Regions from separate parts of the Mus musculus genome. Here regions 1, 2, 4, 5, 6 and 7 are each reported to be linked to region 3. The links are microRNA targets in miRTarBase. Many come from high-throughput screens and were not tested one by one. Region 3 holds a microRNA gene; each other region holds the end of a gene's coding sequence.

Region 1 (4,407 bases), not on the chromosome of region 3:
TGTGCAAAATCCACACCTTAGCCCCCACCTCACCTGCTCCCAGATGAATAACACGTGCCTTTGTTTCCCCAGACCAGGGAAAGAGTTGTCTCGGGTGTCCAAGAAGAATATTTTCCTTCAGTTTAAGAAGCTCTGCTCCTTCCGAGCCCGCAGAGATTTACTGCAGCTCTCTTATGGTGAAGCCAAGAAAGCTGCCCGTGACTATGACTTAGCCAAGAACTACTTCAAGAAAAGCCTGCGAGACATGGGCTATGGGAATTGGATCAGCAAACCCCAGGAGGAAAAGAACTTTTACCTCTGTCCAGTACCCAATGACTGATAGTGGGGCGCGTTTCTCCTGGGGTCAGAGGGCGGTCATGGCATTCCTCATCACACCGGGCCAGAGGATAGGAGCTTTTTTTACCCACTCCCCCCTTTTTTAATGGTAGAACCATAATAGATGGTACCAAGAACTGCTTTCTTTGGGATTTCAAGGTGGGGTCCAGCCAAGTCCCCACCTCCCTTTTCTCAAGGGAAGAGGCCAAGATTAAAGGAAATGGAAATGCTACCATTCCATATGTAGCACAGACAGTTCTTGGTCACATGGAGCCCAGGCCCCTCGGGCTTCGTTTTGCGGAGGTTTTTTTCATCTCCTTTTCCTTTGCTGCACTGGCCTCTTGTGGGTTTGATTCCATCCCATCAGTTCTCTGTAAATGATGTCAGGGGCCAGTGATGTCACCTGCAGATGCGCAGGCAGGCCCCTGCTCTGTCATCCTTCCCTCCTAGGATGCCTTCCTGTGATGAGGTTTCTCCTTCCCCACCCCAGAGGATAGAGGTGAACATAAAGGATTGGTGAAATGTTTACAAGGGCAGGAGTTGACAACCGTGGTCAGGGATTGTCGAACAACAGGAATGTGGTAAACTGTGGTTGGGACAGGCAAGCCCTACCCAGTAACAGGCCGTGCTGGCCCACCAAGGAACTTCCCTTCCTGGGCAGCAGGGAAGTTGAGAATCGGCCAGTGGGACCGAGGAAGGTACCCAAACCAAGCACGTCCCAGTAGGGGTCCACAAGCACTAACTAGAGTGCACCAGCATTCCATGGAATGTCGCTATGCCTCCATCTGCCCCTCCATGAGCACTCCCAGAAGCTGGCCCTGGGCACGTGTGGTGTTGGCCCCAGGCCCCAGCTGTTTGTGAAAAGCAGAGGGTGAGCATAGTGGGCAGAGCAGCTTTGCCCAGACGGCAAAGGTAAAGGCAGAGCATCCTGCCGGTGCACTGGGATTCTTCTGGTCTCAGCAGAAGTGACAAAGCCCTGCATAGAATTAATGTTTCTAAAAGGCCAGAGGCATTGATTCTGAACTGCATCAAAGACTGGAGATGCAAATATTACTTCTCCATTAGTAAATGTACTTTCATTCTATCAGATGGCTTCAGAAGCTGGGTCACGGACAGGGCACAGGGCCCTGGAATCTCTGCCCTGCTCCTTTGAGGATCTTCATTTACATACAAGTGTTGTAGGTGGCAGGGCAGGCTGGCCTCCCACTCTGGGATGGGCTTCTTTGACTCCTCCCCCTCTGACAGTGACTTGTGGGTATGTGGGAGCCTCTGTAGAATCTGGTTCTAGCATCAGATCAACCAGCCAGACCCTGCTCCATTCTGCCCCTCTAGGACCAAGCCCACCTCTTTCCTCTGAATGGTGTGGCTCCATCTGGAGACAGCTGGCCAGTGTGTTCAACAGTTTCCTGCACCCCCTTGCTTAACCCTCAGAGCTGCCTGGTTCCCCCACCCTCTGGCCCACTGCCAACAGCAAACATCACATTCGTACTTCAAGTCTAATGGCTACTGCCTCCTCAATCTATGAACAGATCTGGCCAACACAAGAACCTGTGTCTTCACAATACACTGGGGATGTCTTTGCACAGCCAAATCATCCTATGAAACTCCAGCGTCTGTGGAAGTGAGAAAGCAGCACCATGCTTGTGGTGTCGGCTGGAGGCGTGTCACCCTCCGGCAACTGCATCTGAAGCAGAGCCCTTGTGGTTTCCAGGCCTGGACAGGGAGCTCTTCCCCTGGGGTCTAAAGGACAGAGATGTCTCTCCCTTTGATTCCTTTGGTCCCTCTGGTCCTCCCTGGGTATTCACACATACCCCAATCCTGTCTAGACAACGAGTGGTTCTGGGTTTCTGCAGATGGAAGAGAGCAAGGTGTCCCTGAGTTCTGTGGACTTGACCCCCGCATCCCACCCTGACCCTGCCTCCAGTCCCGCTGGCCGAGGGCAGAGCCTCCTCCCACTGTGCTTCCTTCACGTTTACTTTAAGAAGCAGGGCCTCCCTCCACACCGTCTCTTAATACTTTCTGTAGTTGATTTGTCTGAACCGTGGCTGTCTTGCATTCCTTGAATAATCATGTGTAAGAATTGTCAATGCTTGAAACTATTTCCTGTACTCAAGTTGAAGGGACTTTGTTGGCCTTGGGGTTTTAGCAGTGACTCCAAGAGCAGAGTGGGGAAGCACCCAGGCATAGCCTTGGCGCTGTGATGGATGCAGTCCCTCCCTCTGTCCCTTTACAAGTGACAGTATACATTCCTAAAAATAAAAACACTGAAGCATCAGGACTGTTACAAAGTTTTATATCTTGGTTCTTGGGGGAGGTGAGATTGGGAACAGGGACCTGTGACAGGATCTCTGGCCACAGCCACAGTAGTTTCAAGGGCCCCACTGCTTCTACAGTCTGACTGTAGTTCAGGCAGTGTGATGTGCCAGCCAGTTGGGGACTCGGCTATGTCCTCAGCACTTTCCCTGCTTCAAAACTTTTCCCACCTGAGCCCACTCTGTCATCTTTTGTTCCTAGTTTGGGGGTTGTGGGGCTTAGTAGATTTCAAAGCCCCAAATGAGAAAACAGCACTGGAGACAGCAGAAATCTCTGCTCCTGCCAGTCTTGCTGGTGTTGCTCTCCCCACAAGCCTCGGCCTTTACTGTCCTGTACGTGCCCTTTGGAAGGCAGTTGCAGCTGGGACCACGACACATTCAGATGCACCTTTTAACTTTGTGGATGGCATCGAAAGTCCCCCTCTTAAATTTTAAGGAAACCCAGCTCTTAGTAACTTACTTCAGAACTCCTGGAAGACCTATCTTTGACCTTTCAACAGTGACAACATACCCAAAGACACTGAGTGTGAACTCTCTCATAATCCTTTAGACAGATGGGTCAGCTGAGGTCAGAAGACCCAGTGACATGTTTTGGGGCACAGCACTTAAGTCCAGGGCTTCATGTGGTAGTCACTCCCTGTTTAACTGAGCTGAGCAGTTTTAAAGGCAGTTCGAGGTGACAACTCCTGCTGTCCTAAAGTCTCAGTGGCTCTGTCCTCCAGCAGCCACTGGGTCCAAATTCGAGGAATGGAGTATTCCAGTTTCTGAGGGTGTATCCAGCTTTGTGGGCTAGAAGTGTTGCTCAGGATAAATTGGCATCACGTACAAGTGGATTCCGTTGATCCCTGGCCCTCAAATTTAAAGATAGATGGTTTCCTTAAAGCCTAGCTGAAGGCCCCAAGGGCTCACCCACAGATTCACTCTGATCCCAGGATCTGAGCACAGCCTGTGCAGTGGGGGTCTGCCAGCTCACTGAAGCCTGGATATTTTAGAACCCAGACTGGAGAGGAAGCCCAAACCCACACCACCCCTGGTGGTTCCTTATAGAGGGTCTTCCCCAGAGGTCCCTTCTGGGTCTAGCCACCTGGCCATTTCTTTTGCATCTAACAAAGGGAGCAGATACCACTGACTGGGCAGTACACACTGCCCTTCACCCTTGCTGACTTTTGCTTTACCCTCTCTTGAGTGGAGATTCTCCAGCATCCTCCCCTTCTATATCTACCAATCTGATCCGGAAGGGTTAGTCCCCTTACCCCAAACAGAACAAAGTAACTCAACATATTTGGAAACAATTTTAAGAGAAATAAGTCCAGCTATGGGGGAGTAAGTTTGTGGCGGGGGTGGGGTGGGGGGGGGACATGGAAAATATTCCAGGAATGAAGACAAGGACGTACCTAGGACAGTGCAGTGGGTGGGTGAGGTGTCCTACCAGTTCCCAAAGTGATCAGGTCCTTTGGAAAGCAAGTGACCAGCACACTGACAGACTTCTCAGACATGATGGGATAATTACTACAAAGTGACACTTGGCTCTGACCAGTTGGTGAGTGGGAAGCTGGTCAGTGCATGTGGGGCTCAACAGTCCCTTCTGCCTAGAAGCAGAAAGCAGAAGGTGATAACAGGAAGACCTGTCACTCTTCTTGGGGAACAATTCAGAGAAGGCTCTTTATAAAGGGCTTTGCTTTCCTCCCTAGGAAGTCTCCCGCCTGCCCAAAGGCCATGGGGACAGGCAAGGAGCAGGTCCCATGGGAAGTCATGCTCGCTCTGCTGCTGCCCCTGGTCT
Region 2 (4,407 bases), not on the chromosome of region 3:
TCCTCTCATGCCAGCTTCTGGGAAGATGTTACTCTGCGGCATTTGGAGACTGGCTGACGCATTTGACTATTCTGCCATGAATACACTTGCCATCGTCCATGCAGAGGGATAGTCTCATATCCTACAATACTTCCCTTGCACCTCATTTCATCAGGCACCACTTTTTTGTTTTTGTTTTTTTTAAGGCAGAGTCTTACATTTAAAAAATAGAAATTGGAGCAGCAATTTCTAAAGCTCGCCACAATGTGATAAGCAAAACAAAGGCCCTGTTTGGTATTGATCCTAATGCTGCCCATTTGGGAGCTCTGAGAAGGAACATGAACTTCAAAGTTACAGTTTGAAATGGGAGGGAACCAAGAACTATGAGGATCCAAGACACAGTAACATAGTAGAGTAGGGAAGGAACTTAGCGCAGGTTGTAGGGTCAGGTGTAAGGTAGCCAGCAGCCTGGAGTCTATGAGTGAAATAATGATTCAGTCCCTGGGTCTACTCAGAGCTGGAAAATTGTGTGCTAATTCCCCAGTTTACATCACATGGATTTGTGAGGCATTTATAGCAGTCCATCAGACAGAGGAAGAAGTTCCTCAAGGAATTAAATGTACCCAAGCTATACGTACCACCCTTGAGTCAGAACAACAGAGCAAATAGCTTTGCTTTCTTCTTGGAGCACCCCTGGTGAAACGTTCCATGTTTTTACACAGGGTCACATCTTCGTCTTTGGATATTCCCCCAACAATTTCACAAGTGTCAGTCTTCAGAAGGGGCTTGTCTGGGCATCTCATTTCGGGGGCCATAGCCCCTCTCCTTTTATCTGGTCACAGTTCCACTCTGTAGTTATCACCTGGTGTTGTGTTTTGTTTCTCTTCCAGAGTGAAAGAATTGAAAAAGGCCAAGGAACTTGAAGACATACAGCAGCATCCCTTAGCAATGTGACATTGCTTCTCAGACTCTTTCCATTTCTGTTTTTAGCAGAGACATGCAACAACAACACACACGCTCGTGCACACATACACACACACACACACACACATATATACACACACACACACAAAATCCCTCTGCAGTTCTGGGGAGTCAGCTGCAGGATTTTAACGAGAATGTTTGGTCATTACATTTGCACTCTCATGGACAACTTTTAATTTGATCAGCAAGACATCTTGGAACTCAAATCTTCTGTTGGATCACAGGAAAAACAAGACACCAGGAGGAACTGGAAGGGCTTCATCTTAGGAGGAAGCCGCTTTCCTTGTCATTAGGGCTGTATTCAAACATCGTGTGGAACTGTACAAATATTTATACCAAAAATATAGATAAGAACAGGCGGGGCGACGTCAGCCACACGAGGAGCGCTGCGCCTGCACCTGCGGTGACTTCCAAGAAGCTGAATCCTTGGTTCTCAGTGGAGGGCTTAGATCACCCGAGTTGTGCGAGTCCGCCTGTCCTCATCTCCTTCACTGTTCTCTTTTGAGTTTCTGTTTCGTTTTTTTTTCTTTCTTTCTGTCTGTCGGTTTGTCCGTCCGTTCGTTTGAATCTCTACAGCACACTTAATGCAACTTTTAAAATCTGCAGGTTTTTAATGTCTTGTGAAAATTTGCAGAGGGGTGGGTGTGTGGTAAACGGGTAATGCACGGGAAATAATGAGAAACAGCTTACGGGATTTAAATTCATTTTCTTGCCCCCCCCCCCACCTCCCAGGAATCTGCAAGGATAGTGGCCATCCTGTCCCTTCTCATGGTCAGCACTTTAGTTTGTCTGCCCCACTATCTTGCAGTGAGGATTACTTAAGACTTGGTAACGCATGTAGCCTTTTTTAGTAACCTTGGAAACCTTAGTAATTCCAAGAGATCATAAACCTTGCCTGGACATTTGCCACCTAAACGACCAGTGTGGTGCTGCATTCTGGCCAGTAAATTCCATGTTTTGGCTCTATCTCATCCAAACAGAGTGGTTTCTGTGTACATACAAAAGGTAGAAATGGAGAAAAAAAGCGAGAAAATATTTGAAAGGGGTTATATTAATTGCTAAATATTTTATTCACAGAGGTCAATAACATGGCAAGATGAAATTATTTGTATAGTTTTGTCTGAGCGAGAACAATGTGGATGTATTGTTTGTATATATTGTATATATTAAAACAAAGATGTGCATGAATTCAAGAAAAAGAACAAAAGCAAAGCATTAGTGGCTATGGTCTGTAAAATGAAACAAAAAAAACTTTATTTCACTATAAGAGTACTTTATTTTAAATGTTCTGTAGAAGAACATTTTGCTAAAGCATGACCTGCAAAAAATAAAAAGGAGCTACTGTATTTAGACTTAGGAAAAGAGGCAGAGTAGCATTACTTTAAAAAAAAAAAAAAAAGGATATGTTTACATTTAATTTTGGCTATCAGGAGTTTATTTTATTTTATTTAAAAAAAATTTTTTTGCCAAAGGTGCCAAGTAATGTGAATGCTAATATTGCTTAAAAAAATTAAGTTACTTTTGCAAAATAGATAATCATAAGATGAATCCTTAGAGACCTTAACACCATCCACTCACACCAACAAAGAACATTAGGATGATCAATGTTTAGGAAAAAAAATTAGGACAAAATGAGAAAAATATCACATTTTCATATCTCCTGCTGGAAATTAAAAAACAAACAACAACAAAAACCACGAATAAAAATTGCTCACTCGACAAAATAAAAGGGAAACCCGGTGGAGATTGGTGTTGACGGAAGGGTGCCACGGTACAGTACTTTCCAGGTAATGAGGAGCCAAAGAAATCTGATGCTTTCAAAGCTAACTTATGAGAGAACCAATTTTGCATTTGCTAATGCCAGTTTAAAACTCCCAGGTTAAGTGTGAGAATTGGTTGGTATGAGATTTTCTTTTTTTAAAAAACAAAAAACAAAAAACAAACCAACATGGTTCTGGCTGCCAACCGTGAGTTAAAACTCGAGGCTTGTTGTGAAGCCTAAAAATATTCACAAATGAGCTTTAAGCTGGTGTCTTCAGAAGGAAGGTAGAAACAAAAGGATTGTGGTTAAAAATAATAATAATAATAAAAACTGGGGTCAGTGCTCTCGGTGCCTTTTCTATAATTGTACTTGTTTTTTAATTACTTCCTTTCACTGCCAACCTCAAATTACTGTACAGTACATGTCTTTCTGCTTGTGATCAGCTTGGAACAGCGACAGCCCCACAGCTAGGAGCCACCTGTACATTTGTAAGCTGACCCGACCCAATTTTGTTTTTACATGTGTGGGTTATGTTGCAGCTGTTGCAATCCTCGACCCCCCTACCCCCGCCCCCACCACACCTATTATTTTACACAATTTGACCTGTCTGAGGACACTGAGTAATTTACATAAACAATTGTATTCATAACAGGGAATAGAATGTAAAGCCAGCTCTTTTCAGAATATCCTATCTCAATCATGGATCTGGATACATTTACTCCATTGCTTATGGTTCAGATGACCAATCATTTGACCAGAGCAATGACCTCAGTGGATTTGCTTCAACCCTCACATTTATTTTTTAGTGTTTCACATGCCACATTAGCTGAATATGTTAGAAAACTCTGGAAGATAAAGACTTACATAGAATTAGGAAGTTCTTATGGAGGAGATAGAAGTAGGGTCAAAACCTACCAGTACAACTGTGAATTCTAGGTGAGGTCGAAGCATACTTCCACTGACACAAAGCATTTATGACCACCTTTTTTGATTGTAACTCTTAATTTTGAATATAAGGTGATAGGCGCAGCTTTCTTGGATAATCTGAATTCCCAAGTGCCAGGAGTAGGATTTCATGATAAAATTAATAGCTAATCTTATTCTGTCTCCTGAAGATTTAATTGCTATCCTTGTTACCCATTCAAAATCAGCTGTACTGTGTGAATGAAATAAAGACATTAAGATGAACCCCTTTCTGGCTGCACGGTCGCTTATGGCAGTTCCACACAGTAGTTGGCGCCCAACGGGGGGTCCCTGAGACTTGCATGTAAAACTAGTCTAGATGTCTCCTTTTTTGTAAGTTTTATTTTTGTAATTGTGCATGTAAAGCATCATTGAGTCAATGGATCTGTTGAAGAACTCAGCTGCTGGAAACCATGCAAAATGTTTTGAATTGCCCTTAAAAATATGGAAAATGTTTTCTGAATGCTTTATATTCTTTCTGCTGTAAATTAAAAATGAAGAAAATTTCCCCATATTATCTGTGTTTTGCTTTAACCTGATCTGAAATCCAAGGTGTTGACAGTGAGGTCATAGTTAGAACTGGAAGTATTATTTTACTTTCCACATGCAGTGTTCTCCCACCCAGCCTTTCACTTAGAGCCACTTTCCCAAAGCACTTCCTTTCTACCTACCTTGCCTGGTTCCTTAACACATCGATTTATTTTAAATGCAGTTACTTG
Region 3 (4,407 bases):
CCCTGGGTACCATTCTGGGGTGAAGAAAAGCATGCTCTGCGCAGGCACTGGGTCCCAAACAGAGGCCACTCAACCCTGGCCTGAGGTTCCCACTAGCTGGACACATTCCCAGTCCCCATAGTGTTCTGGCTGAAACTCCCTCCCCCGCCATCTATCCTGGGCTGGTGAGCTGACCTGTCAGCCCTTGGTGGCACTGCAGCAGTACCATTCAGGACAATATCAACTGCCACTTGCTGACAGAGGGTTGCTTTGGGCCTACAATTGGCCTCAAAGTGTCTACCATGGAGCCCTTACAGCACACACCTGAGAGTCTCCTGGCATCAGAAGAAAACCTCAATGGGAGAGGAAACCTTCTGCTAAGGCTATAGTGACACCAATTTACAGGGAATCTGAGGCTTGGAGACTGGCTTTTGTCCCAGTTGGGGGCTGAGCTACTCAGGACTGGGCCTATGCCTGACCCCACTCTGTTCTACTCCCTTCTCATAGGGTCACACTGCTGTCTCTGAGCCTAAAGACAGAGCCCTACAGTCCCTACAAGGGACTGGGTGGATCAAAAAGGCAGAGGCAGTGGCCCAGCCTTAGGTGAAAGGTCTGAGAAGAGGGAGCGGTCAGCAGGGATTCTAGAAGCTTCCCTCGTGCAGGAATGCTGATTTTGATGTTATGGGGAGCCAGTGAAATGCAGAGTTTCCAGAGCCCAGAGTAGGTGCCAGGGCTGGTACCTGGGCTTTATCCTTGCTGACGGGTTGATGGGAAAGGTGGGATGTGAAGAACTCCAGGATGTGATACTGCAGGCTGCCATCAGAGGTGGGGGACTGAGCCAGAGGGGAGTGGACATCTTGTCAAGAAGCATGTGGGGGCAGGAACCTGTGACCTCAGGATGAGGCCATTATGTGTTAGGCCCCATTTCTATGAACCCCCCTCCCCTGAAGCCAACTGGGAGTGGAGATCTCTGACTAAGGAGAGATTCTGAGGTTGCATTCACCCTTAAGAGCTTGTTACATGATCACATCCTTGTCTTTAGCACTTAGTAAGCACAAGCATTTATGTGTGCTGGATGGTGTGTGTGTGTGTGTGTGTGTGTGTGTGTGTGTGTGTGTGCATATTGCAGAGTGGAACTGTGTACAGCCTCTGTGATTTTGACCTGACATGGAAGGTATATATCCCCAGATGCCACCCCTCCATCCCTAGGTAGGGCAACCTTCAGATCTGCTCTTCCAGGTCTCAGGTTGAGGGCCTGGCCTAGCCCTTCTCCTGCTTACTAAGGCATGGGAGCTGTGCTTCATCCCAGAACCCTGGGGACTTTTGGCCTCACAGGCTGAGTCCCACCTGGTTTCAGGGTCCCCAAAGGTCCACAGAGCAGGGCAGTGGCTGACAGCTGGTAGAAGAACAGAAGGAATTGTATTCTGATTCAAGGGTGCTTGGGGGAGTCAAGAGAAAAGGGAGTCAGAGATGGGAGGTGCACACGGAATGCCCCTCCCACCACTCCCCTACCTGGTACCCTCTGCTCCTACCACACTGCTTCCTCCTGCCCAGGGCACCTGCCTTTCACAGGGACTGCAGGTCCTGGGAAGCAACATGTTATTAAGCACCCAACCTCAAGAAAGGGCTGGGTTGGTGCCCAGACAGCTGGGAGCTGCAAGCCTAGGTCCTGCCACTTGATCTGCATCCATTGATTGATTCCCTTCCTTCTAGAGTAGGGAGGGCTAAGCAGAGATTATCCACCCGCAAGCAGGCTACAGGCACAACAAGGTACAGGGCCCAGCAGGGCCTTCTATTTGCTCTGCTCCGGGCCATGGTCTGCTGGGCTGAGGTGATATGCCACATCTCTCTCTTTGAGTGGTGGGGTTTAAGGGTTTTTCTGTTAGAGGAGGAATCATGGGGGGCACTGTAGAGGATGACCCATCTCTGACTTCAGCAGTGAGTGGGGAAACAGCTATGGGGATGGAGGCTGCAGGTATCAGGATGGGGCCATCCTGGGCTCAGCTGGGACAGAGGCACTCTGTGTGTGTAGGCCAAAGGTTTTAGGTGGAAATATTGAGGACCAGGCTGCACAACAGAGCACTGGCAAGAGAGAGGTGGGCACAGCCTTACTGGCCCCTCCCATGGTTTCTGCTCCTCTGACATCCTTCTCCATCTTAGTGGTCCCAATTGCCACCCCTCACCACATAGACAGAAGAACGAAGCTGAAACAGGAAGAAGTTAATTAAGGACACACACTCAGAAACAGAAACTCGCCCCACTCCACGGCAGGTTCTGGATAAATGGGACCCATGAGACTTTTGGCCAGCTACTATGAGCATACCCCATCCAATGGCCTCCCCTGCAGCCCCCTGGCTCTGCCTGGCCACCTCACCCAGCCAGCCCGGTGACCTGCGCTGTTCCAGTTGCCCCAGCACCGCCCCCGTCCCTCCCTCCCTCCTCGGACAAACACGGGAGTGAAGACACGGAGCCAGAGCCTGGGCACTGGCCTGAGGGCCCCGGGCAGGCTGGGTCAGGCTGCCCAGAAGCCCATGCATTGGCAGACCTGCTTGCTGAGGGTCAAAGATAGAGGAGCTGAGACCCAGCCCAACTGGAACCATAGGTGCTCAACATCAGAACAGCTAAGGCAGGCTCTGCAAAGCTCTCTACACTTCCAGGAAAGCACTGGAGTACATACCCATCGTAGGAACGTCTCTCCGTTCTACCCTACCAGCAGCTTCCTCCTTGCCAGCCCTGAAGGTGGGTGGGAGTGGAGCGGCAGTATTGTTCCCCACTGACCCCGCCCATCTCTCTCAGAGTTGGTTTCATTTTTCCAGATCTTTCCCTCCTGGGTTTTTGGGGGGCACTACCCTCCCCTGGCACTCACAGGTTTTATTTGGGGAAGGGGGTTGTTTGTTAATGGCAGGTTTTCCCCACTTTAGTCCCTTTTCTAAGCCTTGTCCCCAACCCCAAAGCCTCTCAAATTCCAAGACCCCTGCTTCTTGTGACACTTAGCATGGCACCCCATTGCAGCAAACCCATGGGCAGCAACTGCTCATTTACCTCCTCCCAAATCTGGCTGCTTGCACCCCACCCCCGGCCCCCCACTATTCTCCAGAGCAGACAGCAGCTTGTGGCTTCCTACCTTTCAGGGTCACACCCTCCTGCCACCTGCTGACAGCTCCAGCTCCTGCTCCTCCCTCACAGAGGCAGCATCCCTCTTGGTCATCATCCACAGTCACCCCAGGACTTTAGCAGAGTCCAGCATCCTGATGCTACCCACAGACATCTCTGACCTGACCTCCCCTGACACTTCAGGGACCCAATGCCTTGAAACCCTCCACCTTCTGAAGATAATGCAGAGTCATGCTACCCCGCCTCTGGTCCATTCTTCTAGAAGCTTCCTGTGCTCACGGGGGAGATGCAGAGTGGAAAGCCCACTTCCCTCACGGCCCCTAAAACACTCCAGCTGGCACGGCTTGGGGGAGTGTAGGGGCATTCGGAGTATAATCTCTCAGCACCGCAGATAAGGGAGAGGCACAGGCTACACTCCCCTCCCCAGCTGCTGGCTCCTAGAGCAGGCCTTTCTGTTGACTGGTAGGTTAGAAGTAAACCAGCCCTCTGTGCTCCTGGGTTTTCCAGCCCCAGAGGCTGAGAGTCTCCAGGACGTGACAGCCTGGAGCAAATGGCCCAGCTTTCTGGGGGACTACTCACTGCCCAGGCTCCAGGGGCATTTTCCCATTGCTTGCTCCTGTTCCCCAACAAACCTGTCTAGTCCCCGGGGGTCACACCCGAAGGAAGACATTTCAACTCCATCTCTGAAATTGGAAAAGCATCAAGCACAATCCCCTCCCCGCCCCCACCTCACTCCCAATACTTTTCCACCCTCCTGGATGCCTTCATGATTCCCGAGCCCCTGCCTCCGGTTCACCCAAATGGCAACATCACCAAGAAGAACCTCCATCACGAACAGGGACCCCCTAACTGGGGGGCATCGGCTGCTGGCACTTCTATGGACTCGATGGGAGGGGTCATCTCCGGGCAGGCAAGGGCTCCTGCCAGCTGCCTCTCCAGCATCAGGCCAGGCCCTGGGCGAACAAAGCCTGGGCGACACCTGCAGCTCCGACCGACCGCTGCCTCCTCTGCAACGGGGATGGTTCTGTACAGCTGGAGCCGGTAAGATAAGCCGGAGCTGCAGATGCAGGCGCCTGCTCTGGCGCCGCAGTGAGGAGGGGGCGCTGGTGCAGTGGGCGCGGCTGGTGCGGAGAGCTGAGTGCTGCGGCAGGCAGAGGGGGGCATTTGGAGGGGGGCTGCGGAAAGCGGGAGATGGAGGGAGAGGAGAGAGGGCGATGTGATTGGCGGGGAAGGGGCTTGCCGCAGTGGGCGCGGCGGCAGAAAAAGGAGGGAGAAAAGCGAGCGCCATGGCTGTGGCGGCGGGGGCGGGGTGAA
Region 4 (4,407 bases), not on the chromosome of region 3:
AGGGAACCTGTGGTGGCCATGACACTTCTTCACCCATCCTGTGCCCATTTTCTGCCCTCCCAAACACATGCAGAGACACACCACCTGTCCCCTCTGCGTGCTCTCAGTTTCCCTGGCCACCACCTTTTCTCAAGCATCCTGTGTCCCTCCTCATCCTTCCGTATCCGCTGGTCTGCCCTGCAGAGACGAGGCATGAAGGGGAAAGCCAGGAAACTATTCTACAAGGCCATTGTCCGAGGCAAGGAGACACTGCGCATCGGGGACTGTGCGGTCTTCCTTTCGGCCGGCCGGCCCAACCTGCCCTACATAGGCCGCATCGAGAGCTTGTGGGAGTCCTGGGGCAGCAACATGGTGGTGAAGGTCAAATGGTTCTACCACCCAGAGGAGACCAAGCTGGGGAAGCGGCAGAGTGACGGGAAGGTGAGGTGTGGGCAGGTGCGGTGGGGGCCCAGCCCCTGCCCTGGGTCTCTGGGGGAATGGGCGCTTTCCTTGGGTGTGGCATGTTTCTGCCGAGGTCGGCCCCGACACTGTATGTGTTCCCTCGCCCGGCAGAACGCACTGTACCAGTCCTGCCACGAAGATGAGAATGACGTGCAGACCATCTCCCACAAATGTCAGGTGGTGGGCCGAGAGCAGTATGAACAGATGATGCGGGGCCGCAAGTACCAGGACCAGCAGGACCTGTACTACTTGGCAGGCACCTATGATCCTACTACTGGGCGCCTGGTGACAGCTGACGGCGTGCCCGTCCTGTGCTGAGCTGCTTCTGCCTCTGCCCACCCTCGCCCATGACTGCAGCCAAGAGGTCAGCCAGCCAGGAGCTGGTCTGAGCAAATATGCAACCCCCCCAAGGCGGGATCAGGCTTCTCTTCGAAGTTCTCTGGAGAGAGCTCCTAGGATAGACCCCCCGAGTCCCATCCTAGCTGCTCCAGGGGGAGAGCCAGGCTGGTCCCACGGGGACCGGCTGCTCTGCCGCTGCACCGCAGTTCTCGAGAGATTAGAATCCAAGCCATATTTCCCTAGTACCTCCGACTGTCTCCCACCAGGGAAAGCAGAAATCAGGTGTGTTGTCTATTTATTTCTCTATGTAAATATTGTATTTCTGTGGGGAAGTTTTATGGGGGAAAAAGTGGAAAAGAATTTTCCCCACCTTTGCGACAAGGGTGGATGCGCGACGAGGGTGTGTGTGTGTGTGTGTGTGTGTGTGTGTGTGCGTGCGCGTATGCGTGTGTGCGTGTAGGGGTTTTTGTCCTGGGGTTTTCTTTGGAAGTGCACTGTTCTCAGCCTAGTTGAATTCCAACAGGGGCATCTGTGACTGCAGAGGCTGCTGGAATGGGGGCGTGGCCAAAGGCCGTGGGATGGTCACATGAGACCCAGTCATACCCTCCAATCTCTTGGGGGCCAACTGTGAAGGAAATTACACTGCGGTTTATTTCCTTTCAATACATCCCATCCATGAAAGTATTTGGGTGGGGGCAGTGATGGCGGTCCCCTGGAACGACCAGGGGTTCCAACCACAGGATGAGAACCAGGATCAGCCTGCGGGCCGGTACCGGCCTGCCCCACTCTACAGCCCAGGAGTATGGCAACAGCCACGTATCTCTTACCTCTGTTTAAAACAAAACAAATGAACAAATATTTTGAAATATCAATAAGAAAAATGGATGTTTAGACTTTCTTTCCTGAATATTCCAAGTTATTTCTGGTTTCCGTTTCCATGGCCAGTTTGATGCAGGGAGAGAAGCCTGGCCTTGCTCGAGCAGGGTGCAGGCGGCCCCCGGCCCCCTCCGTCCCCACCAGCTCTCGGCCCCTTCCTTATCCTCCAGGGCAACAGCTGCCTTCCCCCAAGAGCTGCAGGGCTTCCAATGGTGCAGCTGGTCCAGCTCCCTGTCTGGGCCAGAATTTGGGGCCCGTCTGGGGCTGGTCCACAGTTCTGCATGAGAACATTCTCACCACTAAGATGCACCCCCTTTCCCCACCAGATACTTTCCCTGGGGTCCCACCACCTCTGGATAGCCTCAAGTGTGGATAGCCATGAGGCTGAGCCAGAGGTTCTGGAGTCACAACAGTAGAAAGGCGATGCTGCTCACCCAAGGGGGCGCCCATCCGGCTCCCCTTCTCTCAACCTAGACCCTGATCCTGGGCCCCCTCTGCCCACCCCACACCTACACAGTTTCTGGACCTTTTTTATATCCACTCAGCAGGGCAGATAGCATGGCAGGCTCATGCACAGAGTATATACAACAAGGGTCCCTTCTGGCCTCTTGTACACACATCCTGACCCCAAGTACCAGGAAAGCCAGGCAGTCCTCACTTCTCCCATGATGGAAAGAGCAGGCTAGACCCATGGACCAAAAGCCTTTGTTCTCAGAAATGCCTTGTGGCACCCGTGCTCCCCAGTGTCCACTCGGCCAAGGCTTCCTAGGAAGTGGGGAGTACTGGAGGTCACCCAGCCCTAACTGGGAACCCCCGGCCTCTCTTCCTTTGCTCAGGCCCGCCAAGAGTCTATCCTGATCCCAGGGACTCTGTTTTTCTTACTAGTTGCTCCAAGGGTCCCTCTTGGTGGTCCACAGGAACACCAAGGGTGCCCGTTCCTGGCTGTCCCACCACCCTGAGGGTTTCTGTTCTCCACATGAGTGCAATATTCCATCCTTGGTGGTCATCAGAAGAGATGACCACCAGGGTCCTGCTCACAGCCAGGGAATCAGGAAGATGGTGACTTAAGAATCAAGACCAGGGCTGTCACTAGAAAGGCTGCCCGGAACCCCAGTACCCAGGAGCCCCGGAGCAAGTAGAAAGGCTGTTGTCCTGTGTGCTACCTTCTCCGCGTTTCTTCTGCCCTCTGCTGAACTGTCCTCTTGCTCTGTCTTTATCTTTAGGTCCCCCCATCCTTTTCCTTTCTTTCTGTGTGTACACGCAAATGGCGTGACTCCTCCTCCCCAACTGTGGCTAACGTGGTAAAAAGCACGAATCTTGTAAATGTGTAAACTAAGAGGCTGGTTGGTTGGTTTGTTGTTTTTTTTTTTCAATGTAAACACTAAATACAAAAACAAAAAAACAAAGGTTTTATGAACAGCAGACTCTATGTAAAGGCATTTTACTATTAAATTTTTTATTGATAACTTGCTTAAGAATAAATATATGACTATTGTACAGGTGTTCAGTGGTCCGGATTGTGACTGTACCTGCCTCCTTTATGTGTGTCACATGGTCATTCCTGTGTGGGCTGAGGAGAAACTGTCTAGCATGGGTTCGGGTGGCCTTAGGCTTAGAGACCCCACTGTACCCCATCCCCAGTCTTAGGCCTTTCTTGACCCTGGAGCTGGACTTGTTAGTCAGGTCTGGATATTAGTCACCTTTCCAGCCTGAACCAGTTCGTACAGTAGAGTCCACAAAACACAGGGCAAGTGGTAGAAGAGCCCTACCCGCTGCTCCATATTTGTGAACGCTGCCTGCCTTGCCGAGGGCTGAATGGGTTTGATCAACAACAACAACAAAAAAAAAATTTTCCTGCCAGACAGCTATGCCAAGAATAATAAGAAACAGTCTTGATAGACGTGGTGGCGCACGCCTGTGACCTCAGCGCTCAGGTTGCAGAAGCAGAGGAGCCCCCTTGAGTTTAAAGCAGGCTTGGTCCTCATAACAAGTTCCAAGCCGGCCAAGGATTACACGGTGAGACCCTATCTGTTCCGGGTAAAAAGTTCTCATTGCTAAGCAAAGGACTGACTGCAAGTCTAGCAGCCAAGATCAGAGGGAAAGAGACAGGACCATATGTGGCCTGATCAGGAGGCTGCAGAGCCAAAGAAAGCCCAACACTGACCAGGCAAGACAGCTGGGACTTGTAATTCTCTCCTGAATCCCTGAGATGAAATTCCAGCAGGACATACACAACAGCAAGGTTGGCTCTGGGAGTTGAGTGGGGTCCTCAGCTTCCCACTTCCATGTGTACGGATGTGCATATACACACACCCCAGCCCTGCCCGGCTGCTATGTCTCTCTCTCCAGTGTTAACCTCCTGCCCTTCCCTGAACTGCTTTGCTAAGGGATGCCCCTCTCACGGAAACAGGGTAAGCTCTAAGTGCCTGTGTGGTCCAGCAGGTATCTGACTACCACCAAATTCTTCCTTCACCCCATTCCAAGTCCCACCAAAAGCTGATAGGTAAGGACCCTAAGGTCAGGTGTGCAGGGTGCAGTAGTCAGCTATGGGGGCTGTACACTGAGTCCTGGCGTTATATGTAATCGTGACCTTTGGGAATGGTGTCCTGCCATTCGAGGCAGTGGCCACTGCCTCATGCCCACCTGGGGCCTGAGACAAAGTGACAGCTGGAAACTAGGGTGCAATGCACGGGGATTCTGGCCCAGGGACCTTCTGTGCACTTGACACATCCAACTGCAGGGACTTGCGTT
Region 5 (4,407 bases), not on the chromosome of region 3:
GTTTGTTGCCCACATGGGCATTTGTAGCAGCCAGAGGTCAGGATGTCTTCTTCAGTCTCAGTCTGTACTGTGTGTACCTGGTCCCTTCTAGGCCAAAATAGGATATGAGATTCCCTGGAAATAGTTAGAGGTGGCTGTGAACTGACATGTGGGTGCTGGGAATCAAGCTTGCTCTTCTGGAAGAGCAACCAGTGCTCTTACCTGCTGAGCCATCACTCCAGCGCCACCCACCTAGTTTTGTCAGCATAGTCTCTCACTTATCTGAAACACTGGTCACACTGGTCAGACAGAAAGCCTGCGTCTGTCTCCCTGTCCTGGGGTTAGCCAGAGATCCAGACTCACTCTTCATGCTTTCACAGTGAGCGCTGTCCTTACACTCTGGAGTCCAGTCCTGTTCTTCTGTGTAGACATGAAAAAAATTATGCCAGGCAGTGGTGGTAGACGCCTTTATCTCAATACTCAGAAGGCAGAGACAGGTGGGTCTGACCCTTCCTGAGTTTAAGGCCAGCCTGGTCTACAGAGTGAGTTCCAAGACAGTTGGGGCTGCACAGAGAAAAAAAAAAAACCTACCAACCAACGTACAAAAAAAAAAGTTACTAGTATGATGGATACATAAGCTTGAAAAGAAAATGGAAAAGGCATGTTTGTCATGATGATCTGTTGCTGCAACTTGAGCGAAAGTAACTGTGATTTTTCTTTGTGAAACTTTATTTGCAGCACTGGACAGGACACTGTCTCCAACCCTTCTTACATGAACCAGAGCTCTCGTCTTCAGGCAGCTGCTGGTACAGCTGCTTACACACAGCCTGTGGGGATGTCTACAGATGTGTCTTCTTTCCAGAACACAGCATCCGGTTTGCCTCAGCTGGCTGGCTTTCCAGTGGCAGTTCCTGCACCTGTCGCTGCACAGCCACAAGCAAGCTACCACCAGCAGCCTCTCCTGTAGAGACGCACCAGGACCTGCTGAACGGCTTTGTGGGTGTGCTGTTTAATCTAGGGGATTCTAATCTGAAATATTAAAAGTTTCCCCTCTCAGTCAAAAAGAACCATGAATAAATAAAGCACAAAACCCCACCTTACCCTGAAGGCCATAAAAGGTTTTTTTTTCCAGTCCAGTTGGCTTGAAGTTGACCTTTTGGTCAAAGGCAGCTTGGATGTTCTAAGTTAGTCGGGCTGAACTTTCTGGGCCCTTACTGAGTAGCCTTACGACACTACATGATATGAGGTAGGAGTGTGGAATTTTCTCTTTAAAGAACCCGTTGTTTCCTCTTAAGATGTGATTTTTGAGGAGCACTGAAGACCTTGAAACATTTTTTGTCTGCACTTCCCCCACCCCTTGAATTTCCCACACCCTGTTATTTTAAAAGGCGAGCATCTTTTAGTGCAAGCCTTTAGCTTGCCAGCATATTTCCTGTTGGCTCCTTAAATTACAGTTGTGTTTGCAGTACTGTCAGGTTTGCTCTCAGTGTAATGCTGAGTAGTAATTAGCAGATACTTGTCTACAGAAGCAAGAACAATTTGGAAGGTACAAAAATGGTTTCTGTCATTACCAGTGAAAACCATGTAAATGCAAATATTGTGGAGCAGTTAGCCAGTCCTCTGACAGACGAGGGCCAGGGACTGCCCCAGGAGATGTTAGCCTTCCCCAGAAAGGGCATCCTCTCATACTCGTGTCCCTGGTATTTAGAATTGTTTTCTAGTGTCTTTTGGTGGATGTCTAATGAAGGTGCTGTCCTTTGGATTTCCTGCCTGCTACATATGCAGACACTGCACTTCCTTCTTAGGGATTCTCAGTGAATCTGAGCCAGGAGACACTCCCCATAACCTGATGTGATAGGAACCATCATGGGTATCAGTGTGAGGTGGGCGTTCCTTTCTTACAGAAAGCTGTCATCGTGTGCCATTGGGAAGGGATTGTGTGTCCCCTAGAAGTAGTTGTGAGCCTTTGCAGGAGCAGCAGGCAGCGGTGTGGTGGCCACAGGCTGACAGGACAGCAGTCAGCTGCTTGTCTGAAGCTCCTGTCTTACGTTAGGTCTTAGTACAGTTCCACATACTGTAAGAGTTGGTGGCAAACCCAAGGGAATTTTCTCTTACAGCTTTGCACACTACTTTATTATATCAGCTTTTTACACAACATAAACTAGAAAACATAGATGCACAGGACTCGGATCCATGATATTTACACTGGGAAATGTTCTAAATGGGATTTTTTAAAATTTAAAATTTTTGCATGAATGCACTTCTGTATATTTTTTTAAGCCCTTAAACTTTATTAAAAATCCATTGTGAGACAATTTGGAAATCTTATCGTTTATCTGTTTACGATACTTGGTTATAAGTATGTTTTTTTTCCAAAGAAACTGTATTCTAGAACCTACTACTGCATAAAATAGCCAGCACAGAAGAGAGCGTGGGCCGTCCCTGCAAGCCTGTATCTTGTCAGTGTCTGGTTGTCAGATGCAGGACCCTGGAAGGCTTTTCAGTCCTTAGCCCTCACCTTCTGTGTTTCACACGGCCTTCTCCCTTCAGCTGGACTCATTGAGTCCTTACAAGGATGGAGTGCGTGCAAAATGGTACCTTACTGTTTCTAGAACAGCCTTCTGCTCTTCAAAGATTAAGTAAATAAATGTAAAAGTCCAGAGCTGCCCTTGATAACGTTTGTGTAGAGGAATGCGTCTTCCCTGCCCTTCCAAACTGTGTTTAATAAGCTCATGCTAGTGTTTGTGCATTTCATGTTCAGTTATTGTCTAAATTATAAAAGCTTTATTTAGTCAGTGTAAATACTGCGTTCTCATTAAGTGGGGACCAGCCATTGAAGCTTAGCCGTTTTGGAATACTAAAATATGCCACATGACCTGTATATAAATAGTGTATATTAGTGTCTGTGAAGTTTAATATATGTAGAAATTTCTTCCTCCTACATTTTATTTTTTTCCATTCATAAATTTGTGTTGCAGAGTTATTGTTAGCCTAAAATATTAAATCTGTATTGATCTGATTTCAGTATTAATACGATATGTAAAGATATATATTTTCCCATGATCCAGTTGAACTGTACTTATTTTAAGATGTTTGTAGCTATTTATTTTCAGCCAAAGGAATAGTTTACCTTCAGATTTCTACATTGGGTTCATATTTAATGTTTTCTAACAAAAATTTTTGAATTTCATTTTTCATATAAATCTTGATATATTAGAAAATTCTTAAAAATATATAGAATTTTATAGTATAAAACATTTCCTTGGGTGTTAAGTGGAGTATGTTTGAAAAGTCAACAGTCAGCCAATGTTGTCTTTTTATTTGGTAATTTGCTTACAAAATTACCTACACATTATCTTTTTGCTTAGCATTTAAATATGTATTTCCATTATGCTATTTCAAGTACTTGATTTTTGACTAATGATTGTACTGTATACTGAAGATGATAATAAAGTTTCATCCACATTTTGAAAAATAATTGTAAATGTGGCTGGTCTAGGGATATAACTCAGTGATAAATAGAGCTTTTTCTTCACCCGCCCCCCCAACATTGCAAAATGGGGGAAAGATGGCCTTAGGGATCTTTTTTGACTTTTAATGAAGTTTTATGTGTTTCAGGTTTATAGGTGTTTTGTCTGCATGTGCATCTATGCACCACATGCATGCCTGGTTCACTCTGAGGCCAGAAGAGGGCATCAGCTCCTCTGGGACTAGAGTTAGGGAGGGTTGTGAGCCGCCTCTCCACCTCTGGAATCTCTTTAAAGGCTTTTCTTAGTGAAAGACAAAGTGTAAGGCTCCTGTCTACTTCCGGGTCGGGCTTTGTTGAATTGTTGCTTTAGTGTGACACCAGTGTTGTCCTTAAGGCTGACAAATTATACACAACACAGCACCAACTTAATGATTCTACTAAAAGGTTGATTTCTTTCTTAATTACTTCAATGTTGGCTCATAGATAAAGTTTCTGGCTTTTTGTTTTTCCCCAAAGGAAAAATTACTATAAATTTGTGAAGCTAAGTTTGAATTTGAGAGATGTTTTTCTTCTTTTAATGTAGCTTACACGATTGAGTGAAATGAAGTGTCCCAAGCTCATGTTTACTTAGAATGTCATACGTGACCTTGTTTGAAATGGTCTGAGGGTAAAGTTAGCTCAGGGTTCTGGAGTGGAGCCGTTTCCACAAAGGATGGACTCTGAATCAGTGATGAATGGTTTCTTCATAAGAAGATGAAAGGCACCGGGCAGTGGTGGTGCACGCCTTTAATCCTAGCACTTGGGAGGCAGAGGCAGGTGGATTTCTGAGTTCGAGGCCAGCCTGGTCTACAGGGTGAGTTCCAGGACAGCCAGGGCTACACAGAAAAACCCTGTCTCGAAAAACCAAAAAAAAAAAAAAAGAAGAAGAAGAAGAAGATGAAAGGCAGGATCCAGTGGAC
Region 6 (4,407 bases), not on the chromosome of region 3:
AGGAAGAAGAGCAGAAGGAAGGACCAAAAGTTATCAGTGGGGTTTACCCCTATGGCTTTGGGGATTGAGACATTTTCCACAAGGGGACTGATGCTCAGGCCTGTCCTGGTCACAAGTTTCAACTTGGCAAGGTTTTGGGCAACTTAGGTGCTTTGAAGGAGCCCTGAGACAGAGCTCCGAGGCCCAGAAACCTCTCTGGGGATCAGAATGGAGTGGTCCAGAAGTTCTGTGTGGTCAGGAACACAAGGGACAGGAAGTAAGAGGGGCTAGGAAGGAGTCTTGGCCAGGCTAGTACAGCATGGCTACTTCTCTCAATAAAGACCCAGAAGTCACCCATTGATCTATGTGTCTGGGGCCAATGTGACAGCTCATGGGTAAAAGCACACAGCCCTCCATCCTCCATTCATGTGTAACAGTACACAAGTACCGTGTTCCCATCATCTTTATTTGAGTGTATTTGTTGTTGTTGTTGTTTTTTTTTGTTTGTTTTTGTTTTTTCTGAGATCAGGTCTCTGTGTAGCTCTGGCTGTCCTGGAATGCTATCTGTAGACCAGGCTAGCCTCGAACTCAGAGATCCACCACACCTGGCTGGAAAAAACCTGAAGCCTACAACTCAGAGTTCTGGATATGTATTTATTTAGTGTCTGTGTGGGTGGGGGGTGCATGCAGAGGTCAGAGGGCAAGCCTGCTGGGATAGCTCCCCCCCCCCCATGCACTTTGTCAGGCTTGGTGGTTACTGAGCCAATTGGCCGACCCTAGCTTGACATTGTTTAGTATACTCATTGGGGGACTGTGTAGCTCTGCTAGTACTAAGAGGGGACTTTTTCATTACCTTACCATAGAAGCACCTTACCCACTATTGCCTGCTTTTCCCACCCCCTTCAGCCTAAAACAACTGCTGACCTATTTTCCATCTGTACGCACCTTTCCTATTCCTTCCGTTTTTTGGGGGGTGGGGGGACTCATGCTCTCGTGGAGACTGGAGAACCTCCTCTCCCCTCACCATATGGGTCAGGCTCGGTAACAAACACCTTCACCCGCTGAGCCATTTCATGGGCCTGCACTTGCTGGTCTTTGACTTTCATTTAAGTCCTCCACAAATATGTTTTGTGACTACCTAACATCTCTTCAAGGTCCACCCATCCTTGTATGCGCTGTGCATACAAGCTTGTGTGCTGTGCTCATGCATGTGTGCACATGTGCAGGCCAGAGGCCAGTCTCAGGTTATCACCTTGTTTTTTTTTTTGTGTGTGAGATGGGGTCTCTTACAAATACTGAGGCTTAGTTTGCCTAGGATGGTTATCCAATGAGCTTCAGGGATCTGTCTCCACACCCCGCCCACTGCTGCTCCTAATGCTGGGGTTACAGGCCTGCATCACTGCACCTAGCTTTGGTGTGGGTGCTAGCTCAAACTCGGGTCCTTCTGCTTGTGTGACAAGTGTTTTTCCCCCTCTCTAGTCCCCACCATTGAAATTGTTTTGTTCCTTGTCTGGGTGAAAGATTTTATTGTGAAAGCATGTTGACTTTTCTCAAAGGCCTTTTCTGTTCCGATTGAGATGGTCATGTGGTCAGAGTATATGACATTAACTGATCTTCAGATGCTAAAGCAACTGCATTCCTGGGAAGGTCTGTTCTCTTGAGCTAGTGTGTTGGGCCTGGGCAGTCAGGGATGGGGGTCTCTGGGCCAAGCAGACCCAGCCTATACTGGTTTCCCTGTGGCTCTTCCTGTCTCTTGCCCAGCAAGGGCATCTGCTGGCCGTCTGCAGTTCTGCCCTGTGAATGTGCCTGCCAAAGATCAGGAGATTAGTCACCCATTTATTTATGCACCTGGGGCCAGTGTGATGGATCAGGGAGGAGTCATGCTCTAACAGATGGGCAGGGAGGGGACCTGCCAACACAGCTGAACTGGAGAGGGAGAGGGAGAGGGAGAGGGAGAGGGAGAGGGAGAGGGAGAGGGAGAGGGAGAGGGAGAGGGAGAGGGAGAGGGAGAGGGAGAGAGGGAGGAGAGAGAGAGAGGAGAGAGAGAAAGAGAGAGAGAGGCAGGCAGGCAGGCAGGCAGGCAAGCTGGCTGGTATCCCAGTAGCCTCTGAGCATTGTGGCAACTGGCAGTGATAACGAGGGACAGTTGAAGGAGGACAGCTTAGGCCACAGCTGTCTCCTTATCAGAAAGCCTCAAAAGGCCTGTCATAGGCCTTTCCAACTTTCCCGAAGAATAAGGTTACCCATGAGGAAAGTCTGGCTTCCTCACGGACACCTCCTCCCCTCCAGTCATCCCTCCCCGCTGGTAGCTCAGCTCAGGCCTGGTCAAGCCCAAACTTCTTAATAGATAAGAGGATAATACCTGGGAACAGTAGGGCCTCATGCTGAGCAGTCACACCAATCAAAGCCTTTCACTTTAGGCCAGGCAGCCTCCTACAGACCTCAGGGAAGACAAGTGCTGGGATTAAAGGCGTGCACCACCATGCCCGGCTTTCCCACAGCCCTGAGAGCTGTCCTGAAGGTCCCAGCATTTACCCTTTTGCTGAGACATTGCTACACCTTTGCTTCCAGCTCTGCTCGCGGTGTTTCTGACTATTATGGAGTCTTACTAACGCTAATGAGAATGTAAAATATGCACATTGTTATACAAACAAGCCTTGTGCTCATAGTGGCCACTGACACCCCTGGAGGCCCACGCCCAATGGTCCTGTCCCAAGGGCAGGGACCATGTCATTCTGTCCCCACGGAGACCTAGCAACTAGGTCTGTCAGGTCACACATTATGCTGGTCAGAAGGTGACTGGCCACTTCACTTCCTTCCCTGTGTCTCATGTACCTAGAGGCTCTGAAGGCCTGGGAACATCTTCAGAAGGTGTTAGGTGCCACTTGGCAGCTTTGGTGGGACTCTGACACAAGGACTCAACCATGTCACCCCACTTGGCCCAGCCTGGCCACCCACAGACCTAAGATACCAGCACAGGGTCTGGCAAAACTCACATAAATAAGAGGCTTGCACAGAAGTCCAAATCACCACCAATACATTTATTCGAGGAGATGGGTCTATCTTACCACGAGGGGAGGACTAGATGTCGGCCTATGTAACCTGTGCGTATTCGCACCCAGCACAGTGACTGAACCCTCACACCTGGCGTCACCAGCACAGACAAGCAGATGAGGGGATGGTCTGAGGAGAACATGATTTCCTATTCAGGAGAAGGCACCACCCTTGTATAAGAAAATTAGTGTTGGGAACATAGCTCCAGCCTCCCATGGCCCAGGTGTGATGGCGCCCAATTTACAAAGCAGGAAGTGGGGGGCGGGGGTGCTTCTGGCTGACTGGCAGGATGAGCTGGGCTAGAGGTGCAGGGAAGCCTTGCCACTGAGTGACGTTTGCCTCTGCAGCCTGCCTCTGCCTGAGTACAAGATGGACTCCAGTACCTCTAGGCAGGAAGGGGATGCCACCCCAACACTGCTCCCCCAGGCTTCCCCAGGTCCCAGGTGACCCACCTCCACCAGCCCACATCTGGACAGACACATGGCAAATATGGACATGAAGCCAGGCTGGGCTGGAGTCACCCTTGGGCATCTGAGATGATGGGTCCTCACCAGGGGTAGGCTAAGACCCCATAAATGTTTGGTCGGGCAGCTTAGGTTACTCCAGGGCAAAGCATGACCCCGATGACACCCGGCGGAAAAGCAGGCTGGAGCCGCGGAAGAGCTGGCCCTGGAAGGGAAGAACAGTGTCAGGGGTGCTGGAGGGAACCCTGCCTTTTACTCTGTCTGTGGTGAGGGCACTCCTATGGATTCTGAGATCCAACTTAGGTGTCTGGGGCTTCCGTGGCAAGCACTTTTACCCACTGAGCCACCCTGCTAGCCCCCAGTAAACCTATTCACAGCCTAAAGACCACTCAGCACTCCTGGCTCCTCCTCATTTGACCAGTGGCAAAGCAAGGCCAGGAAAAGGCAAAGGCCCCTAGCCCTGAGCCTGGTCCCTGTCCACTCCCCCACTCCCACTCGCACCTCAGGAAGAGCTACAGCCAACAGGAGGCTTCAGGATAGAGCCCCAGAAGCCATGGCTGCTCTAGAAGGCTCATACCAGACCCAGACGAATCCTAAAGATCCCCCAGGGCTGGAAGGGTCCAATGGAGGAGTTTGGCTGAGCACATCCCAGGTACCCTTGGTACTGGAGGAGTGAGTTCTTGGGCTCTGCCACCTACCGCCTCCAAAGGCAGTCTGACCTTTATTTAATTTCACTCAGTTGCCTAGGGCCCAAGTTTTGGCCTCCTCTGACTTTCTCCCCTCAGCCAGAGCCAGAACTACTTAGGACCTACTTAGTACCCTGCAGCTTTTACTATTTACCCTCTCCTAAGATGGTTCCTCCAGGCTGCTGCTGCTGTTCCTCCTCCTCCTCCTCCTCACCACCACCCAG
Region 7 (4,407 bases), not on the chromosome of region 3:
TGTATATTCTGTGGAAGATTTGAATATCTGGTCTCTCACTTCTGGAAAATCCACTGCCATAGTTCACATGCAGCTAAGTATGTTGCTCATGGGGTTCATGGGGACAGACTTCTGTCCTACAAGTCAGCATCTGAGCTGTTCATATGTGTGAATATTTTTCTGATAAGAAGACTTCAGGGAGGGAGGAGGCTCTTCAAAAGATGAATTGTAGGTGAAAGGGTAACAAGGGCTGGGAAGGCAGTTCAGTGTCAAGCACTGGCACTCCCATGTTTGAGGCCCTGCGTTTATTCCCAGAACTCCAAATAAATAAATAAAAACATTTAAATTGGTTTACCTTTTTAAGAGAAGATGTTACAAATTGATACTTGCCTGCATTTTAAAGATATTACATACATGTACTATGCCATCTTTTATATAATAAAAGCCAAACTCTTATTTAAATCATATCAGAGATTGGTGGCTTTTTAAAATCAAACTAACATATGCACTTAGTCCTTAAGGACTATAAGTAAGCAAGAGGCTTGTAATTGTTTGTAATGTTCTCTCTACTGAGCATGGATTGGAAAGACTAAGGTCATGAGAAGCTCAGATTCTGGGCTTAGAAACTGCCTTCTGCAGTAGAAGGGCTTAAGAGACATCAGATGAGCATATGCTTGTAGCTTGCTGTTGCTTCCTCTGTGTCTTGTCTTCTAATGTATGGCAGTATACAATAAATAATTGGATATTTTCTTGATGTTGCAGTTCCTGGAAGTTCATCTAAATGGGAAGAAGTACAGTCCAAAGCTAAGCATTTATTACTGAACACGTTTGGCATGTACAAATGCACTATTCAGCTCCAGAGTTACAGACAAGAAGTGATCAGAACTTGTGCAAATTGTCACAGTTCCAGTACCTGAGTTCCAGGTGTATGTCCTCGGGGTCTACGGCCTTGTTTATCCTGAAGTACAGACTTGAGAGCAATAAATGTAAACCTAATGGAGTCCCTGACAGCTGTGTCCATGTCAAGCACCAGTCTCCCCAAGACAGACTCCGCTCTGACTAATATTTGCATGATTTCAGACAAAGAACTTCCAGAGTGCTGTTTACAGAATGAGCTGTCACCCTGCAGATACCTCATCAGAAGACAATCCAAGACCATGCTTCATTAATTTGACAGAGTATGCAACATGTACACGAAGACTCAGAATTCAGTATTTGCATCTAACAACGACTTTTTTCAGGCCTTTTATATGAAGTCAGTGCTAGCAAACTCAGTGTTGAACTATTTGGGATTTTTGTCTCTGTGTAATCTTGGCATCCAGTTTCTGGAATTGTGTTCTCTTTTTATAAAAATTAGCCCTCAACAGATTTCAGAAAGTAATTATATCCAGAAAATGGAATAAGCATGTATTCTAAGTGTTTCAGAACTGTTTTATTTCACATATAACTTATAAGCAAATTTTCCAGATAGTACTGGGTTTTAAATCTCAATATTTTTGATTATTTGTAATCTTGTCAGAAATATTCACATAATGTGGTCACTGTCCTTAAGTTATTTAGGGAAACTTTAATATAATTATAAATGGCAGAAATTAGATTTAACCTCAAATTACCTTACCATATGATGATCTAAAGCAGAGAAGCAAGTAGTGGTCTGTAGAGTTTTGGATTCTATCTTCCAGAAAATCACTTCTGTGCTTTATGTAGAATTGTCTTAGGACGGTAAGAGACAACAACATTTCAGCAGTTATTCACTGTCCTTTTTAGAACTGCCAACATTTGTTAGTAATAGTTTGCATAGCACCCTCTCATGTGCACACCAGGTTATCTATACATCTTTCTGAGTACCTATAGAAGCTAAGGCTGAGGTTATTAATGCCCACCATGTAGAGGGCCTTTGTTACTCCAGAGAAAATTTCTGTTATGATACAGGCTGTTCTCCATGGGTTGCAGAACTACAAGTTTTACAGTAATGTCATAATAGAAAGATACAGAGGCATTGGGTGTTCTCTTTAAGAAAACACAAGGTAAAGGTTTTGTTTGTTTTGTCTTGTCTTGTTTTGTTTTGTTTTGTTTTGTTTTGTTTTGTTTGGCCATGTATGTGCACAGAAGAACTGAAATAAGGATGGACACTAAACCTGTGTCTGAGGAAGCAACATAAATATTTCCAAGCTCAAGGGAAGGCAATTGGCAGCAGTTGTGCTAAAGAGAAAGTCATGAATATTCACGATTCATTCCCAGCAGTTGCTTTGAGATGAGCTCATTTCAACCTAGCACTTTGTATGGCTCTTGTCTCCTCAAAGAGTCAGAGTGGAGTAACTCTGTACCAAACAGATTGTGAATAGAAATCCAAATGGTGTGTAAATGAAGAGTGGGAAGTTGAGACTTTCCCTGTGTTAAAAAGTAATAAGAAAACCTGGGTTTACCCAAAAGGTTGTTGGGAATTGATAGGTTCAAAACACAGCTGATGTTTCTCCATAAAACTCAATGGGTATTTGTTGAATTCAAAGTTTACTTTGAAAAAAACAAAAAGTTTACTTTGTTGAATTTTTATTGTGAGTCCATTTAAAATTATAAATACTTGAACTTCAAATTTTCTTAGAATATAAACTAAATAAAATAGTGATTCGCATATGAGTAGATTATAGGCATTTAAGTGGCTGCCTGGGCATTTGTGGCCTTTAGATATGTCTAGGGGAAAAAAGGAAAATGTGCATTTTATTCTTAACATTTTCACACATCAGTTGAGCTCATTTCTTGAAAACATCCTTTTACCATAATATGGGCATATCTGGATTTTCATGTTGATATTTGGTAAAACAGCCTTAAAATCCATTTGAATATTGAAAAAGTTTTCATAAAAAAAAACAGAAGAACTTAAAACTTCTGTAAGTCTTAACTATCATATTCATGTAAAGTGGGTGTACCTGTAATCTCTGCACTTGCCTTTTGCAGCAGGGGCTAGACGTTGTTCTTCATGGGTCCACAAGATGGAGAGCTGGTAGATTTTTACTTGTTTAGCTTGTCAGAACCCATAGAGGAAGGACATTAAGTCAGCAGTTAGATCAGGGACTACACAGCTGTAAGATCTCCGTCTTTCTCCTTTGGAGACACAGTGAGTGGCACAACCTCTCAGTTAACTGTGAGAACTCTTTGCCCTGCAAAGAAGCAGGATCTGAATTGGGGAGATGCAGTGCTAATCGTGCACTGGGAAACATCACAACATAAAACTTGGCAATTCTCCACTGCACTATATTCTAAGGAGTATTTTCAGATAATTAATTACTGTAGACATTAACCCATATTTCACAACTTGTGCCCAATGCAGTCTTTTGTTTTAGGAAGACTCTGTCTGACTAACAATCTTGCTGTCTTAAGAAGCATACCAAGAATGCAGTTGAGTAAGACATACTTAACAGGCAGAACCAGAAGCTATTGTAATTCTTACGGGCAGCTATGTTAACTTTCCACAGCTAAAGGTTTTCATGTGAGCAGATTTTCACATTCACAGCTTCCATCCACATTGTTTACCAGATCACTAGATGTCTTGGTTTACAGTGTTTCTTTTCAGTTTGGGATAGAGGTTTTCATTTTTCTCTCTGACATTATTTCCTGAACTCTCAACGTTGTCTTAAGCCCAGGTGGCCCACGTGTCAGTATTTGTCTTCAGGAGAGCCTTCCCACAGTGGACACAGTCAAGATCAGAGAGAAACACGAGCATCACTCTCAGTTTTCAGAGAGAACTTTCAGCCAATACTTAGAAATACATTTGCAGGTGAGAAAGGTTTTTAAAACCTCAGATCATCCCCTGTCCAGATTTTCTGCATGGGAACATGGTAGAGAATATGAGACAGAAATAGACTGAGCAGCTACTGTGAAGAGCTTTGAGTTTCTCAAAATGCCAGCCAGCATTCTTAGAGATTTTGATCCTGAAGTAACTTCAGCTGTGTTTGGTTTTCTGTATTGATGACCACTCGTTCATCAGCATACGATGTTCTTATAGAATCTGAACTCTGCTGTTGACTACCTTGTATGTAGTCAAGATAAAGCTACAGAATGTGCCACTACGTATGATACCATTTGGTTCAGTTCATCGTTGGACCACTCTTAGTTACAAATAATCAGTGACATCTCACTAGCTCTACTGTGCTAAGTAAGCAGGGAGAAAATCTGGTGTCTAGGAAATGGTTTAATATCTCTGTAGCTAGAACACCATTTGCAAACTCATAATCCCACCTCCAGGTCTGTCTAATGGACCCTATGGGCTTAAGATTTGATTTTGCAGATAGGCATATTGTTTGTGATGTTAGTGGGAGCATGCAAACTAGAGAAAAAAAATTGTAGGAATTCCTCAGTATTATGTGTTTCCATTTAGGCAACCCGTCAGTAAGTTATGGTTACAAAAGATTTGTTGGAGACCAACAGTCA

The links. Region 3 holds the annotated microRNA mmu-miR-149-5p (UCUGGCUCCGUGUCUUCACUCCC, at 2,432-2,454, opposite strand). A microRNA usually pairs through its seed, bases 2 to 8, with sites in the 3' UTR of a target mRNA and lowers its output. Matches are read on the target gene's strand: a 7mer-m8 pairs with bases 2 to 8, a 7mer-A1 pairs with bases 2 to 7 and ends in A, and an 8mer does both.
Region 1: miRTarBase lists Adar as a target of mmu-miR-149-5p. Seed matches in the 3' UTR shown: 7mer-A1 at 1,617-1,623.
Region 2: the mRNA of Camta1 is a reported target of mmu-miR-149-5p. The part of its 3' UTR that is shown has no 7-base or 8-base seed match.
Region 4: miRTarBase lists Bahcc1 as a target of mmu-miR-149-5p. Seed matches in the 3' UTR shown: 7mer-m8 at 938-944 and 8mer at 2,043-2,050.
Region 5: miRTarBase lists Stam2 as a target of mmu-miR-149-5p. Seed matches in the 3' UTR shown: 7mer-m8 at 1,802-1,808.
Region 6: the mRNA of Mtch1 is a reported target of mmu-miR-149-5p. Seed matches in the 3' UTR shown: 7mer-A1 at 3,306-3,312.
Region 7: miRTarBase lists Slc30a4 as a target of mmu-miR-149-5p. The part of its 3' UTR that is shown has no 7-base or 8-base seed match.

The regions. Positions count from the first base shown.
Region 1 is chr3:89,750,857-89,755,263 of GRCm38, forward strand. Adar (adenosine deaminase, RNA-specific) reads left to right here. Exons shown (of 15, transcript NM_001146296.1): 15 at 73-2,599. The coding sequence ends at 319. Chrnb2 (cholinergic receptor, nicotinic, beta polypeptide 2 (neuronal)) reads right to left here. Exons shown (of 6, transcript NM_009602.4): 6 at 2,592-4,407. Among named protein-coding and RNA genes, the nearest start is that of Chrnb2, 12 kb to the right of the region's middle.
Region 2 is chr4:151,059,318-151,063,724 of GRCm38, reverse strand. Camta1 (calmodulin binding transcription activator 1) reads left to right here. Exons shown (of 24, transcript NM_001081557.3): 24 at 870-4,202. The coding sequence ends at 902. Among named protein-coding and RNA genes, the nearest start is that of Vamp3, 3.6 kb to the right of the region's middle.
Region 3 is chr1:92,848,428-92,852,834 of GRCm38, reverse strand. It overlaps Mir149 (microRNA 149), which reads right to left and starts at 2,457; the gene lies at 2,392-2,457. The region is part of intron 1 of Gpc1 (glypican 1); the gene reads right to left. It overlaps Gm29480 (predicted gene 29480), which reads left to right and starts at 4,038. Exons shown (of 4, transcript NR_166170.1): 1 at 4,038-4,134.
Region 4 is chr11:120,289,125-120,293,531 of GRCm38, forward strand. It overlaps Bahcc1 (BAH domain and coiled-coil containing 1), which reads left to right. Exons shown (of 28, transcript NM_001347621.2): 27 at 184-420; 28 at 553-3,173. The coding sequence ends at 759. Among named protein-coding and RNA genes, the nearest start is that of Gm11772, 53 kb to the left of the region's middle.
Region 5 is chr2:52,691,248-52,695,654 of GRCm38, reverse strand. It overlaps Stam2 (signal transducing adaptor molecule (SH3 domain and ITAM motif) 2), which reads left to right. Exons shown (of 14, transcript NM_019667.2): 14 at 718-3,449. The coding sequence ends at 946. It overlaps Gm46741 (predicted gene, 46741), which reads left to right. Exons shown (of 3, transcript NR_166060.1): 3 at 1-1,079. Among named protein-coding and RNA genes, the nearest start is that of Gm46741, 5.7 kb to the left of the region's middle.
Region 6 is chr17:29,329,077-29,333,483 of GRCm38, forward strand. It overlaps Mtch1 (mitochondrial carrier 1), which reads right to left. Exons shown (of 12, transcript NM_019880.4): 12 at 3,000-3,702. The coding sequence ends at 3,631. Among named protein-coding and RNA genes, the nearest start is that of Gm46603, 4.4 kb to the left of the region's middle.
Region 7 is chr2:122,681,668-122,686,074 of GRCm38, reverse strand. It overlaps Slc30a4 (solute carrier family 30 (zinc transporter), member 4), which reads left to right. Exons shown (of 7, transcript NM_011774.3): 6 at 1-77; 7 at 742-4,407. The coding sequence ends at 896. Among named protein-coding and RNA genes, the nearest start is that of 4930417H01Rik, 19 kb to the left of the region's middle.